Oryzias latipes: one gene and its partner. The protein of the gene in region 1 purifies or fractionates together with the protein of each later gene. This does not show direct contact. Links are inferred from orthologs where the notes say so. Each region holds a gene or a part of one and is shown on either strand. Other genes may lie near its edges.

Region 1 (7,373 bases):
GTAGTTTAGCTTCAAAAACCATAGAAAAAGTACAATTACGAATAAAGAGTAGAAAAGAAAAGAAAATGAAAATTTGTAAGATTGAAGTCGAACATCTTGGAATTTTAATCATAGCTTTAAGATCAATGTGATAATTCTTGGATTTAGGTTAGACATTCTTTTTAAAAATGTCCCAGTTAAAGATCACAAATACATGAGATAAACCACATTCTAAAATTCAATGTAGATTTTCAAGATCAAAGTCAGAAATCTAAAAGAAAAAAGGAAAAATTCTGAGATGTATCTCTAAAATTTAGGATCTGATGGCTAAATTGTGGGATTAAAGTTGTTGTTTTTTTAATAAGAAAAAGTCACAATGTCAGAAACCCAAGATTAAAGTAATAAATCTTAGGGAAAAAAAGGTAAAATTGTCAGAAATTATACCTTTCCTTTAAATTTAAAGACAGAGGAAAATTGTGTTTTAGGTGTCTAATATGTTCTTCTGGTATTTTTCTGATGACGGAGGACAATTATAAAGATAAAATAAATTAAAAATTCAACTTCTGAGTGTTTCTGTGTTGCAATTCTTGAGAATCAGGAGCAGATTGAAAAATAGCTTTTTTTTTCATCTGGGTGGGCCACAAGTTCCCAGCAACAGAGAGGGGAAAAGGGGTGGGGGTTGCCCTGTGTCACTGGTCTCGCCCACAACTCAGAGATGGAATTCTAATAAACGTTTGTTGCTCTGCAGAAACAATGTCCAAAATGACAGGTTTAAAAAATGTGTTGTTTAAAAATGGCAAAATCATATTCAAAGACCACTGAGAACACTTTTAGTATAGTTAAAAGAACGATCAAAGGGGGTCTTTAAAACGAAGCTGAGCAGGGTAAATGAAGAACACTTCCCCTAAAGGTAAACACCTGTGTCTTGTGTGTGCATGTGTTGCGTCTGTTTCTCACCTATGTGTTTGACTATGTTGTTGATGGTCGGCTGGAAAAGTTCGTTCATGGCTTCCTGAGTGAGCCGCAGCATCCCCTGGGACGACCACTTCACAATGTTCATACTAACACACAAACACAGTGAGCAGGGGTGGGGTCACTGTCACACCCAGATGATGCTCCTCCCACTCACTTGCTCCTCCTCAGCGCTGCCTCCACGCTCTGGCCCCTTTGCCTCTTGTAGAAGTCGATGAAGGAGAAAGGCAGGGAGATGTTGAGGGCGTTGGCTCGGCCGGGCGACGCCGTCCGTTTTCTCGCCTCAAAAGCGATGGTGAGGTCCACCCAGGCCGCCGGCCGCTTCGCCTTGAAGCTCTGGATGAAGTCCTCCCCAAAGATCTGGCACAGCATGTTTTCAAAGGCCAGATCCACGCCAACAGCTCCATACGGGCCGCCTGGAGGTCAAACAAACCCAGCATTGGAAGCTGAAGGAGATCTAAGAAATCTAAGAAACCTAAGAAAACAACTGAATTTCAAAAAGCAGAGCATTCGCACTACAGAAAAGAAAATGTGTTTATCAAATTGTGGTGTGGATTTATGGAACGAATTGGATGAAGGTTTACAAATATTCAAAATAACCTACAAAAGATCACCAATATAAGGCCAGAAACGATTAAAAAACAAAAACTGTACAAAAAATGTAACTTTGCACAATTGCCATGCAAAAATTGTACCATGAACGTTTTGTACATATCTGTAAATTGAATTATGCACATCATCGGGTGTTGTGAAAAGGGGTGCGATCATCCAAGATTCCTTTTCAACCCACTTCTTTCCAAACACACTGTATGGTCTTATGTCTCTAAAACCACCATGTTGATTTTTTCATTTGTGTTTGAAAAAATAAAGAAACAAAATAAAGATCCTTTCTTAGAAAAGGCGTCGCACCCGAAGCCTTGTATAGTTCTTTGAGCGTCCCCTGCGGCTGCTCGATCTGATGGACTGTCAGGTCCACGGTTCCTCCTCCACAGTCGGCAACGACATACTTGTCACCTGCACAAGAAAAGAAGCAAAAACAAGCTTGTTAAACTTGTGCTTAAATGAAGGGATTTCTGCTGAAATGTGTTGAATCGCATGAAAACGGCAAACATTAAAGTCGGAGCAACATGTGTTCCTCAGGGGCCACCGGTCCTTACCCCCGCTGCCTCTTTCACCCTAAATCAGAGCTGCACGTGACAAATGCATGAAAAAAAACATTTTGGCTGCTTTTCTATTCTGTCTCCAAGCAACCATTTCATTTTTGGACAAGTCTATGTCATTTTTAAAAGAACTTACAAAAGTTAATTTTTTGGTTTCCTTGGCAACTGAGGTGTTTTGTTAACCACACCCACAGTTCATATCCTATGTCATATCCTATGTTTTGCACTTTCACAATATTCTGGTAAAAAATGTACGAGCAACAGGGAAACGCCAACCTTTGCAAGCGTGCCGTTCAAAATCTACAAACTTTATTATCAACGTTTTTTTTCTTCTTCCATGTAGCTTCCCAATGATGGATCAGTAGTGATGAGGTGATAGAACAAAACTCCTAGGAGGATTTTCATTTGTAGAAGGTGCTAAAGGTACATTTTTTTGGGGGATCCATCTTCCTAAGGTCAAAGGTCAACAAAACTTCAGCCATAGTTGTAGACTTAAGCCAGCAGGATTTGTATGAAATTTCATGAAGATCACTCAAACAAAAGATTTTTTTCCCCATATTGTGAAAAAAAGTGAAAATTAAAAATCATCAAAAAAAAGTGACTTGCACTTGCATGGCTTTTAAAAAAATTAATCCAAATTGGTCCAATGAATATTCAGTGGAGGGAGATGCTAAAAGGTGAACAACAACAACAATGGTCCACGAATCAAAACGTGAATCATCCAACTAACTTTGTGGTCCAAAGTACCATAGTCTGATTCTTTTTTACCAATATTTTTATTTTTCATTTGACATTTAAGATTATAAATGAAAATGCTGTTTAACAGAGAAAGTCTTTTTTCGCTGTGGATCACCTTTAGCCAATTGTAATTAACCTGATGTGGTGGAAGCTGGTTTGTGACGTCTGTTTGTTTGCAGCAGATGTACTGGTATATAAAAAGGCAAAGGCGAGCACAACAGGAAGAAAGCTTTGACTACGTCTCGATCAATTTGGACCTTTTTTACCAACGTGATCTCATTGGTATCTTTGCTTTTCTACCTATACTGCTGTTACTCCCCTCCCAGAACTAGATCGATTTTTTAATATGTACCTTTGACATCCTAAATATTCAGATTGAACTTTTATTTTAATACTTGATACTTATCAATAGTTTTTTTTTTTTTCCTGCGTTAGTTTGTTTAAATTAAACTTAATAATAACTATTTCTTTTAAAAGGCTGCTAGAAGTTGAAGCTGGGGTAACTATGGTGCACTGGGGTTCTGTCCTCTTTCCTTTTTTACTTCTACCCTTCCTCTCCTCTATTCTTGATCATAATTTATCATTTAGTTCTCCATGCCTCTGTTTGGTGCAGTGCGATTCATGTATTGTCCCTCTTTTCCTCTCCCCTCCTGGGGAGTGGGAGTGCTTCCAGACTCCAGTTGGCTCATCCGTGCTCCAGTTCCTGACCGTTTACCTCGCCTTTGCTCCTGCTCCTACACCTGGCTGTGGATCCTGCCTCTGGCTCATCTCTGGCTCGTCTCTGCTCTGTACCTGACCGAGTACCTCGTCTCTGCTCCTGCTCCTACACCTGGCTGTGGTTCCTGTCTCCGGCTCGACTCGCGCCTTTGACTGTCCCGATAACCACGGCTGGATGAAGCTCGTCTGCTGGACTTTTATATATGTAGTTGTAGATTTAGATAAGTTAATTCTTCTCTAAGATTTCTGGTAAATCGCCTGTCCGTCCTGGGGGAGGATCCCTCCTTCATGTGGGCACCCCTGAGGTTTCTTCGTTTTTTCCGGAATCCGGTTTTTTTGGGAGTTTTTCCTTACCGCGAAGGGGGGTCTAAGGGCAGGGATGTCAGTATAGCTTAGTCAGTTTGTTAGTTCATTTTAGTATTTTTCTATTGAACTCTTTGTATTCGTGATCCTTTTGATTTCATGTTTTACTTCGAAGCCCATCGAGACGACTGTTGTTGTGATTTTGGGCTATACAAATAAAATTGAATTGAATTGAATTGAATTTTACACTAGGTGGAGGCCTTTTGGTATTTTTTGCCTCTCCCATCACTTTATTGCCTTTCAATCATTGTCTTGCTTGTGTTTTAAATGTGCAAAAACAATAAATTAAACTAGACTTTCGTTTAATCCATCAGTTGTATAGGTATAGAGTCCAGAGGTGGGGGCTCCTTTCACCTTTTTACCTTTGTACCAGGGTTTTTCACATAATTCACTGCTGTCATTTCACAGGAAATTGAAAGATTTTATGTCTGCATTTTTGTATGTAGTTAGAATAATGTTGTGGTGGTGCAACATATTCTGCAAGTACGCAACATTTTTCAATATTATATTCTAAAAGATCTTCCAAACCAACAGCAGATCTTTCAGGAATGTCAACGGTGACTGAATCTGGATGAAATGCGGCGGCAGTCTTTTGTAGTTGCCCCCTTTTTCACCCTAGGCAGACGTGTGTGGCCCAAACAGTCAACAGGTCAAATTCATCTCCATCTGAAGCTTGAAAGATCCGTTGGAACTCTCTGAACTCACCGGTCTGCAGCTCGGACCACAGCTCTCCAGTGCCGCTTTCCACCAGGAAGGTCCTGCTGTGTCTGGATCGTCTCAGCTGCTCCCTCGCTGCACATACAAAACAAAACACCAAAAATAAAGCATCTTTGGTGTTTTTAACATGTTCTTGTTGTATTTTTTCCAATGATGGTGGACATGGATAAAGAAAATCAAGCTTAAAATTGCATTTCTGATTATGCCTTTATTCAAAATGTTATGAATCAGGAGCAGAGGAAAAAAGTGAGCTGTTAGAAAAAGCTTTTAGGTGTGAAGCAGAAGCAACTACGGTAAACCACAAGCTCCCTGCTTGAATACATTTCTAATAAACTACTGCTGCTCTGCAGAAACTAAGTCCTAGAAAACAACACAAGGTTTTTTGATTTTGGATTAATAATAATTAAAAGACCACTGGGAACTCTTTAATAACAGATCAAAAGATCTGTTATTATCTGAGGTAATAACTGTTACCTCCGATATTACCTCAGTAATAACTGAGGGAATAACTGTTAGGTATCTGAGCTAACAAAACAGTTATAGCTTGATGTCCTGTGCTCTAGCTTTTGGAAGGCAAACTTTGTTTTTTTTATGTCATCATGTAAATACTCAACAAACAAACATAGAATGCAAAAAAAACAAACAAAAAAACAACAACAACAACAAATGAAAATCAATACACTGTCTTGCTCTCTGTTTTAGGAAAACCGACCTACGGGGTTGGCTGCGAGTGGTAAGTAACCCAGCAGTCTTAATTTTTTCTGGTAGGACATCACACAGTTCACGCGCCGGATAGTTCATTTGGTTAAATATTTGATTGACAGATTTACTCGCTGTCAAGTGGTAGGGGTGCGGCTTTCCAACAAGCTCACTCCTGATTGGTGAGAGTTGTTGCCATGGAATCAATGGCTGAGACAGACATCTTACTAACGATGTCTGGCTCCAACATGGCAAAAAAAAGCAACTGTAATTCGATAGACTTCACTACTTTGGAGCAGGAGATAAGCTGTTTTCTATGGGTGATGTCACACTCACTTGGTCCATTTCTCATGTTAAGTCAATACACAAGCCTGTGTAAAATGCCTTGTTCTTGTGGTTTTTGGAACCAGTTTAGTGTCTGACCACATTTTGGTTTACCCCATCTGTACCTCTGCATCAGCTGTGAGCTGTTCTGGATTGAGGCCTTGGACCAGCCTATGGATTCCCCCTGTCTCCCCTCTCCTGAACTAGATCTTCACATTGGACTCTATCCTTTCACTCGCTTCAAGCCCCGTGCCAGATCTCCCCTCTGTCTTCTCCAACCTCTCATTTTCCTCCTTCCTACCACCTTAGTATAGTTTCTCAAGTTGGTGTTCATTAGATAATCTGAGAAATCCCAGACATAGATGGCTGTCTCTCTGGCCTCAAGTTCCTGCACGGCTCCAGAGCAGTCCACAACTAAACATCTGAAAATAAACTCGTTCTTTCCTTTTAATCTTTGCTCCTTGGGGTTCAGTTGTGTTGCACCTTAAATCCTGACAACATAGCTCGGATTGTGGTAGCTACGGTACTTGAGACTAAATATAAACACATATCTGTAAGAGCCTATTTTAAAGCCAAAAGAAAACATTTCTCTGTTTTGAAAGAACACATTTGTCAAGTTATTCTTGTTGTTGGCTTCTGAACAAAGAAACCCTGGTGGCCTCAGCATTTGTTGCAAAAGTTGTGCACGGTAGCAACTATGGCTTCTGTTGAAAGTGTGCTTGCATGGTTTAAGCTGCAGAGCAATTCACAGCTCTGTCAGGATCCTCTTCACCTCCCACACCTACAGGTTGACGATCTGCTCACGTGCTCCCTATCAGCTCATCAGTTCCACACAAGGAGCACTGGTCCACGCACCGTGTGCAGGGTTGGGGGGATTGAAAAAAATGAGAAATCCACATGACATGTCTGCGTCTCACCCACATCACCCTTACATGTTGCGTAAGTGTTTTCTACGACCTTTCGCCCGCAGCATGCTCGCAGAAAGAAATGTCCATGAACATTTTTGCTCTACAGGCTCATAAGCGCTTTACAACCTTAATATTTCCTGGAGGCCACCTGCATGGACCGTACAGGTTTGCCAATTTTCCACCTGCAGACAGCCCCTCTCCACACGTAAAGGCAGTTGTGACAAAGGAACAAAAATCAGAGGACTAATAAGAACTTCAGCTTTTCTAGCTGTTGATTCAAATTTGAATATCCACAACAATAAGATTACATATACAAAATATTGCCTCAACAAATAATTTCCTCCTGCTTTGCAAAGAAGTTGGCGTTTACAGTGGATGTAAGCGTTTAAAAACAATCAAAATGGACAAAATGCACATGTTTTTGACCCTTTTGGTTATATTTTTTTTAACCATTTTTCTTCATTAATGATACATTTTTACAGAAATTTGTGAGTGCTCTGCCATTCTGCAAGCACTCCAAGTCATCACCATCTTTCAGCATCCCACAATACTTTGCTGGTTTCCAAACATTTCGTGTAAAAACTCTAAATGTACCGGCCAGGCTCCACTGTTTGTTTGACTAAAATCTCCATTCAAAGCAGCTCAATCTGGAACATAAACAGCATCACTTTCAGCCTAATGAGGCCTTTCTAATCTTAACTTTTTTTTTTTTTTTTGAGGCACAGCACTTCCCTACACTTCTGCTTGGAGTCACATAAATCTTTGGATCTGAGTCAAACAAAAGCAAGGAATGTGC
Region 2 (7,373 bases), on another chromosome or scaffold:
TAAAGATCAGAGATTTCAGCTTTTATTATTCAAAACGAATGTGCCAACCTTTTTAGCAAACACAACCCACAGATTCTGTGCCTTTTTATTTATTATGCGTTTGTATTTTTTTAGGTTGACATCATGCAGATGTGTGTGGTGGAGATGACAAACAGACCCGGCAAACCTCTGTTCCACCTAGAGCATTACATCGAGGGCAAGTACATTAAATACAACTCCAACTCTGGCTTTGTCAGGGACGACAACATCCGACTCACTCCACAGGTGAGCGGCTGTCTCCTGGTACATTTGAACTCAGATGACATTGCTTTAAAAAGAAATGTCCTTTTTTTCCGTCTTGCAGGCTTTCAGTCACTTCACCTTTGAGCGCTCGGGCCACCAGCTGATCGTGGTGGACATCCAGGGAGTGGGAGATTTGTACACGGACCCCCAGATCCACACGGAGAAGGGGACTGACTTCGGAGATGGGAATCTAGGTATCCGTTTGTTTGGGAAAACTGCTGTTGAACTATAGTGGGCCAGGAAGATGGGATCTGAGAAGACCTGTGTTCCAGGTGTGCGGGGCATGGCTCTGTTCTTCCACTCCCACATGTGCAACAAGATCTGCAAGAGCATGGGCCTGACGCCGTTCGACCTTTCCCCGGAAGAAATGTCCCAGCTGGACGGCACCAACAAACTTCTTGTAATTCAAAACGTTTTAAAACTCAGTGCAAGAACAGTGGGTTGTGTTCTGAGGTTTGTTAATTCTCTTTCTCTTTATTTTTTGGTTTTAAGAAAAGCGCACAGACGGTGCTGAGGGGCTGCGAGGAGCAGTGCGGCTCGCCCCGAGTTCGGACCTGGTCTGCCAGCCGGGCGCCGCCGCTCTTCTCTCGCCTGTCCGAGACGTCATCTGCAGACGAGAGCATGAGCGACGCCGAGTCCATCCCCTGTTCACCTCTTAATCCCCCCTTCACAGCAGTCGGATCTCTGGGTGAGTCACTCTATGTGATTTAGCGTTAGCACATCCAGCTGAGAATAAATGTTTGAATCCTTAATGCATTTTCCAGGCTTATCTTTTACTGGAATGAATGAACATGAACGATTCAGCAATAACAACCAAGGGGAACACAAGGTGAGTTCTAACTGACCTGCAGAGATTTTTAGCTGGTTTTAAAAAAAGAAAAAAATACTCTAAAAAGCACAAAATTCACAAACAGCACAGAACTAAAGGAGGCACAAAATGAAATGAATTTCCTGGAAGTACAAACCACCAGCAGAAAATTATGTTTAATCTCACAGAAAATAAACTAATTATCTGCCCTCATGTCAGATTAAGAAGTGTTTTTGTTGGTCAGGCCTCGATTTGTAAAAGGCGACTTAATGCAGTTTATGATTTTTGTTTAATATTAGTAATGATGTTTGATTCTAATTGTTTTTGTCTAAGTACTGGAGCTCAGTAATGGTTTCATGTGCGTTTAGATAGCAGTTTTGTGAGAGCAAACCAAAATATTAAGGTTTATCCCATGCAAGTTTTTCACTGCATTCCGTAAGAATAAGTAGTACACTTAAAGTTGATTTTATTAAGTATCACAGCCCCATTCACTCATGCACACATATTCAAACACTGACTTCATGCTGGTGCAAACCTTAAACCGTCAGGAATAATGTTGTTGTCCTGCCAAAGGACACTTCAACACACATGTTGCAGGAACTGAACCATCAATCTTCTGATGGGAGGTTGACCGCTTTACATTTTTACCATAGCAAGTATACTATAGATCATGTGCTTGTAGTGTAGAAAAAAATACTTACTGAAAAAATACTAACTGAATACAGAATAAATTGGCACATTTTAAATTTACAAATGAAATATAAAAACTAAACTTTAAGAATACTGCCTCACTTTTAGTATTGACTAAGTATACTTGTAGTACATGTAATAGACTACTTTTTGCTGAGGGATCCTGCAATCTGTTCCTTGATGCAATATTCTAATGATAGTTGCTGTGACAGGTTGGGTTCACGGTCTCTTATTTGCATTGTTTTTCCTACTCAAACAAAGGGGTTATGGCAGTTCAACCCGTGTCGAGCTCACAGAGATCCATTTGTTTACACTCCTCCAACAAGCAGTTTGCTCTTCTTGCACAACACGTACAGGCCCCCTGCTAATCTGCTGAAATGCGGTCATCACATGAGGCCAGCACAACAATGTGTGCGTTCACGAGTGCTGCAGACAAAGCTCTCAGCCAGCAGCACGGTTTGTGTAACACTTTGTTCACACAAAACAAATCTGCTGTCTGCTGTGACTTTTATCTCTTTCTGAGTCACAAAACTACCGCAAAAATGTTATCTGGTGGGGGCTTTAACCTACTTTTGTGGGTGTCTTTCTGTCTTATAATTTTCCTGTCAAAGCATAAAGCTGTTATTTGAGGCGCGTTTTGAACGTAAAGGGAAAAAAAACACTGAATATCAGTTGCAAACTACATCGTTCTTTTTCATGTGACCTTCATGTAGTAACATATCTGAATAAATTGTAAACACTGCCACCAAGTGGCGGAAGATGGCAACAACAGGTGCCTCTTTGTGTATGAGTTTGTTGCCAAGAATCCAACAGGAGAAAACAATTAGGTTAATAATAATTAGGTTTTATGTTTGATTTTTTTTTTTTACAAGTTCTCAGTTGTTATTTCATTTTTTGTTTTGTCAGGAATCAGAAAGCGGTGGAGACAGCGGCTACCCTAGTGAGAGGAGGAGCGAACCAGACTCCAGCGACCACATGGATGGGGTAAACATCTATGCATCCTTTTTTTTTAATTACAGCTGAACCAATCCTGGGGTTTTACTGGCTGAACCTCAAAAATGCACTGAAATTCTTTTTTTTTATGGTAGAATTTGTTTTTATCAAGACATTTGAAAAGCCTAAATGTATATTTAAAGCTAATTTTTTTTAATTAATTTAGAAAGTTTACTTAAACTTGTAGAAATACTCCACATGATCAAAATATATTGTGTCAGGCTAACTTTTCTTCACTTTTTGAAGTTTTTAGACTCTTTTCCAGGTTCTTAACTCATACCAGCTTTAAGGGCAGGACGTTTTTTGTGATGCATGTCATATATTGTCATAGGTGCACCAGCGCTACCACAGACCTTACTCAGAGTCGGATGAGGACAGTATCAGACGGGTAAACAAGTTTTTAGATCTTTCCTCCCTCTTCGGCCATAATCATCAATCACCTTTCTATCGTTCCTTTTTTCCTCATCACCTCCTCAAGCCTTTTTTTCTTCTAACTTAGTTCCCCATTTTTTTTCATTTTCTCCTCACCAGAAGAAGATGGTAGCTCCTCCAAGAGTCTCTGCAAACTTTAACTCATGCAGTCCCATCTATGAAGCGGTGATTATTTGCACGGAGGCTTTTAAAAGTAGTTGCTTTGGAAGCAGCTCTGTGCCATTTTGCTCCTCTCAAGCTCTATGTTTGCTGGAAAATCCATTAAGATGTACACTATTTTTTTGATTTGCTGCTGCTTCCTTGTCAGCTTTTGTCAATCTGTAGCTTGTAAAAAACATATTCAAATTTTCAGAGAAACCAAAATATATTTGGAGCTGAAACAGCATCTACCTCAAATTGAGCAAATTTTCCATTTTTAATGACAGGTACCAGCTTTGTGTGTTTTTTGTGCGTCATGCTGCTTACAACTTCATGTCACATGATTGAAGTGTTGTGTCATCTCTCTGTTAAAGCTCCAGCTGGATGGGTGTGCCCCAGAGTGGGATGTAATTATCTGATGACTAAAAAGGGTGATTACTTTTTAAAAAAAAATCTTCTTCCATCTTTTCTCCCATCTGTTTTCACTCCAGCTGACAGATGAGAAATGGAGCTTCTTCCATTCGTCTCGCTCTCATGTCCACCGCCCTTCCTGTGTGGCGACAGAAGTGGAGCGCCTCAACACTCTGCTGCAGAAAAAGATTGGACAGTCAAATCTGGGAAAGGTAGGAGCCTGAAAAAAATCAATTAGCTCTGATGGAAATACTACTGCAAAAAAAAAAACAAATATATGATAAAAGACGAAGCATTTTTTTCTATTTTTATCTCAAATAAAGTTATATACAGTCATTAGAGCATCTTGAGATGTTTTCCTTCAAACAAAATGAACTTTTTGTTGCAAAACAAATCCAAAAGATCCATCGAAATGCTCAAATTTTCTAGAAATTTCAAGTAAAAATGGATTGTTGGGGTTAAAAATCTGTATTGTAAAGCATTCATCGAATAATAGTTCATGTTTTCCATTTATGCATTATTTAAACAGCATGGTTCAAACAAATGTTATTTTTTTATTACTATTTTAATGAGGTTGCCTAGCAACTACTTTAGTTAAACGACACAACAGTAAGTTAAGGCTATGCCATCATCTGTAGTGGAAAAAATAAATGTAAAACGCATTAAGCAGATCAGAATTAATAGCATAAAGTGCAAACAACAGCATGTAAATTAGAAATACAAAAATCGTAAAAGAAAGAAAACTAAATACTAAAAATGTAAATATGGGAAATGTTTTTTCAAGTGGAGGCAAATGTCTAAAGACGCACACATCTACAGCAAACTCACCAAACAGAACACCTTGTAATAAAATCAACAAATGTACCTATTAATATAGAAACAGATGAAAGTAGAATTCCTCAAATTTAAAGATTAATAACACAAACTGATTCTTATTCTTTATATAAATATTTTTTATAAATGATACAAAGACGTTTGAGGGGAGAAAAACAAATTTAAAACCCAGCTGTTAAAATCGGCGTTTTGTTAAAATTGTTCAGAAAGTCTTGTGTCAAATCCTGATTGAAAGTGTTTTTGACCTTTTACTACTTTGACCTCTCAGGTCCATCTGGCCATGGTCCGGTACCACGAAGCGGGGCGCTTCTGCGAGAAGGACGAGCAGTGGGATGAGAGCTCCGCCATGTTCCACCTGGAGAGAGCGGCGCTGTGTGGGGAGCTGGAGGCCATCGTAGCCTTAGGACAGTGTTACCTCCGGTTACCGCATCACATACTGCCTGACATGGAGTTGGAGGTAAGCTGAATTTTACCGCTGGGCCTCCTGTTAGGGGTTACAGCTCTGACAGGTTTGGTTTGTTGGCAGGACAACGCTGGGAACCGGATGAAAGGTTTCAAATATCTGCTGCAGGCCGCTGAAGCTGGAGACAGATCCTCCATGATCATAGTGGCCAGAGCCTTTGATAGTGGAATCAATCTGTCGGCTGACAGGTCAGTTTGGATTTATGCTCAGAACTCAAGAAAAAGAGTCCTGCGAAGCTGCGGACACACCGGGAATGTAAACAAGAGAACATATTTAGCTCGTTCTTGAACACGCGCCTGGCTCATAGTGTTCATACTGAGCTAGCAGGGAGGGGCTTCCTTTTTTTTCCTTCCTTTTTCTGTGTTTACTAAAGCATGTTTATTCCAATGCATGAAAGATTCAATTCCAGTCAGACACTAACCACAACTATTATTTTTCCTCCATGATCAATTTTGAAACAAATTAAAAGGGATGCCATCCACACGTCACTTCCAAACCTGAGTCTCTGATTGGTCAAAGTTCAACCTGGTTTAACTTGCAATGTGCGTTCAATGGCCGCGTGTTTTGACCTGAAATGGTTCTAGCTACGGAAGCCCGAAATGCACGTTTACATCGACTTTTCAGTGGAAGCAGACACGTGTGAATGTAGCTTTACAGAAGTGGTGAAACACTGCCCTCTGTTGGGGTTGTAGAGTTTTTATGATTAATGATTTTTATACTTTCACACTTTTTTTTTTTTGTAATAAGTTATTTTTGTTTTTTCCTGCAGAAAACAAGACTGGGCTGAAGCAATTCACTGGTACGACAGTGCGCTGAACATGTCGGACTTTGACGAAGGCGGGGAGTTCGACGGCACGCAGGATGAGCCGCGATACCTGCTGCTGGCCAGAGAAGCGGAAATGTACCAGAAGGGGGGCCACAACCTGGCTGCAGACCCTCAGAGAGCAGGTCTGAGCCCAGACTGTTAAGGGAGAATATCAAAAACTCTAGAGAGACTTTGATATTTCCAATCTGAAGGGAACAGAATAAACGTTATTACAACCCTGCTACTGTGTGAATGCAAAGCTTCATATGTACAGACTTCCACTCATAGCTATGGTCATTTAGTCAGTCTTGTGACCTGCGTCTGTAACATTTTCCCTCCCTTTGTGTCTCTGCAGGTGACCTGTTCACAGAGGCTGCAGAAGCCGCCATGGCGGCCATGAAAGGTCGCCTGGCCAACCAGTACTACATGAAAGCTGAAGAGGCCTGGGCAGAAGTTGAGGAGTAACTAAAGAGGTGGCAATATTTTCTGTTTGACTTTTTGTCGCTTATTTTTTAATTAATTTAGCTTAACGCTTGAATGATTTTGGATAATATAAATTTTATGGCAGAATTTTTGCTGTTGCCGGTTTGGGTGTGTGAGTGAGTGCTAAGCCGCTGATGATCATTCTTGTTTTGTTTTTTTTTATCTCTTCAAATGTGAAAGTAATCATCCTGACCTCTTTTCTCTCTCATTTCCTGTCTTTGGTTAATTTAAATGAATACGGTTGTGTAAAAAAAAAAAGGTTATTTACAAAAAAAATGGAACAAAGAAGACTGTTTACTTATCTTTCTTTAATAAACGTTTATGCATTTATGTCTGAAAGATGTATGTGCAAAATATGTACAAGAATTTAAAAATAAAGTTTGCATTGGTTTATATGAGCCATGCTTCCTTTGTGATCATTCCCTTCATTTGTAATTGAGTTATTTGTAGTTTCTGTGAGAAACAAAGCCACTTTTGAATTTTCTATAAAATCTCTCCTTTTCATCTTCCTCAATAAAACCAAAGCACACAAAAAAAAGTCATGGACTACATCCATAATTCTTCTGTTTTGCTCATCTTCTGGGACTCCAAAATCTTCAACAAACCATCTCAATCTGCTTGATTGATTTAATTTAGATTAGTTAAGTTTATGAATTTATAGCTGAGGTGCAACGATAGAAGATAAACTATGTAAAGGTTTTTATATTCCTGCTGACATCCTGAGGCCTTGATTGTTCTACTCTTCCTCCAGAGTGCACTGATTTAAAATATATTGATTGAAAAGTTGGATATTTTTCTGATTTCTCAGTTTATGAGCTTAAATCGCATATTTTCTTAGGCTGCATAATTTTTTCCTTTTTCTTTCTATCAAATCATAAACTAATTGAGTTGTGTTTATGTTCAGGTTAACAGCAGGAGTAAGTAAGAAAAATAATGACGACTCACCAAAATAGACCTACGGTATAACAAGAGAAGATTTCCTTTTTGCCTTGAATTGTTTAAACCTTTTATAGGAGTCCGTTAGCTGCTCCAGG

The links. The genes of interacting proteins can lie anywhere in the genome.
Region 2: the proteins of hspa12b (region 1) and eef2k purify together in Homo sapiens (affinity purification with mass spectrometry; 3 studies listed by BioGRID and IntAct, with this or other methods). This does not show direct contact. The link is inferred for Oryzias latipes from reciprocal best matches to the Homo sapiens genes HSPA12B and EEF2K.

Annotation. Positions count from the first base shown.
Region 1 is NC_019876.2:13,101,873-13,109,245, forward strand, and holds part of hspa12b (heat shock 70 kDa protein 12B), read right to left. Parts: intron 4,722-7,373; coding exon 4,635-4,721; intron 1,966-4,634; coding exon 1,861-1,965; intron 1,368-1,860; coding exon 1,109-1,367; intron 1,041-1,108; coding exon 937-1,040; intron 1-936.
Region 2 is NC_019877.2:13,147,323-13,154,695, reverse strand, and holds the end of eef2k (eukaryotic elongation factor 2 kinase), read left to right. Parts: intron 1-114; coding exon 115-264; intron 265-343; coding exon 344-476; intron 477-554; coding exon 555-682; intron 683-774; coding exon 775-970; intron 971-1,046; coding exon 1,047-1,111; intron 1,112-2,686; coding exon 2,687-2,764; intron 2,765-3,104; coding exon 3,105-3,161; intron 3,162-3,304; coding exon 3,305-3,370; intron 3,371-3,834; coding exon 3,835-3,966; intron 3,967-4,856; coding exon 4,857-5,045; intron 5,046-5,114; coding exon 5,115-5,239; intron 5,240-5,820; coding exon 5,821-5,999; intron 6,000-6,211; coding exon 6,212-6,321; 3' UTR 6,322-6,737; downstream 6,738-7,373. UniProt on the Homo sapiens protein: Threonine kinase that regulates protein synthesis by controlling the rate of peptide chain elongation.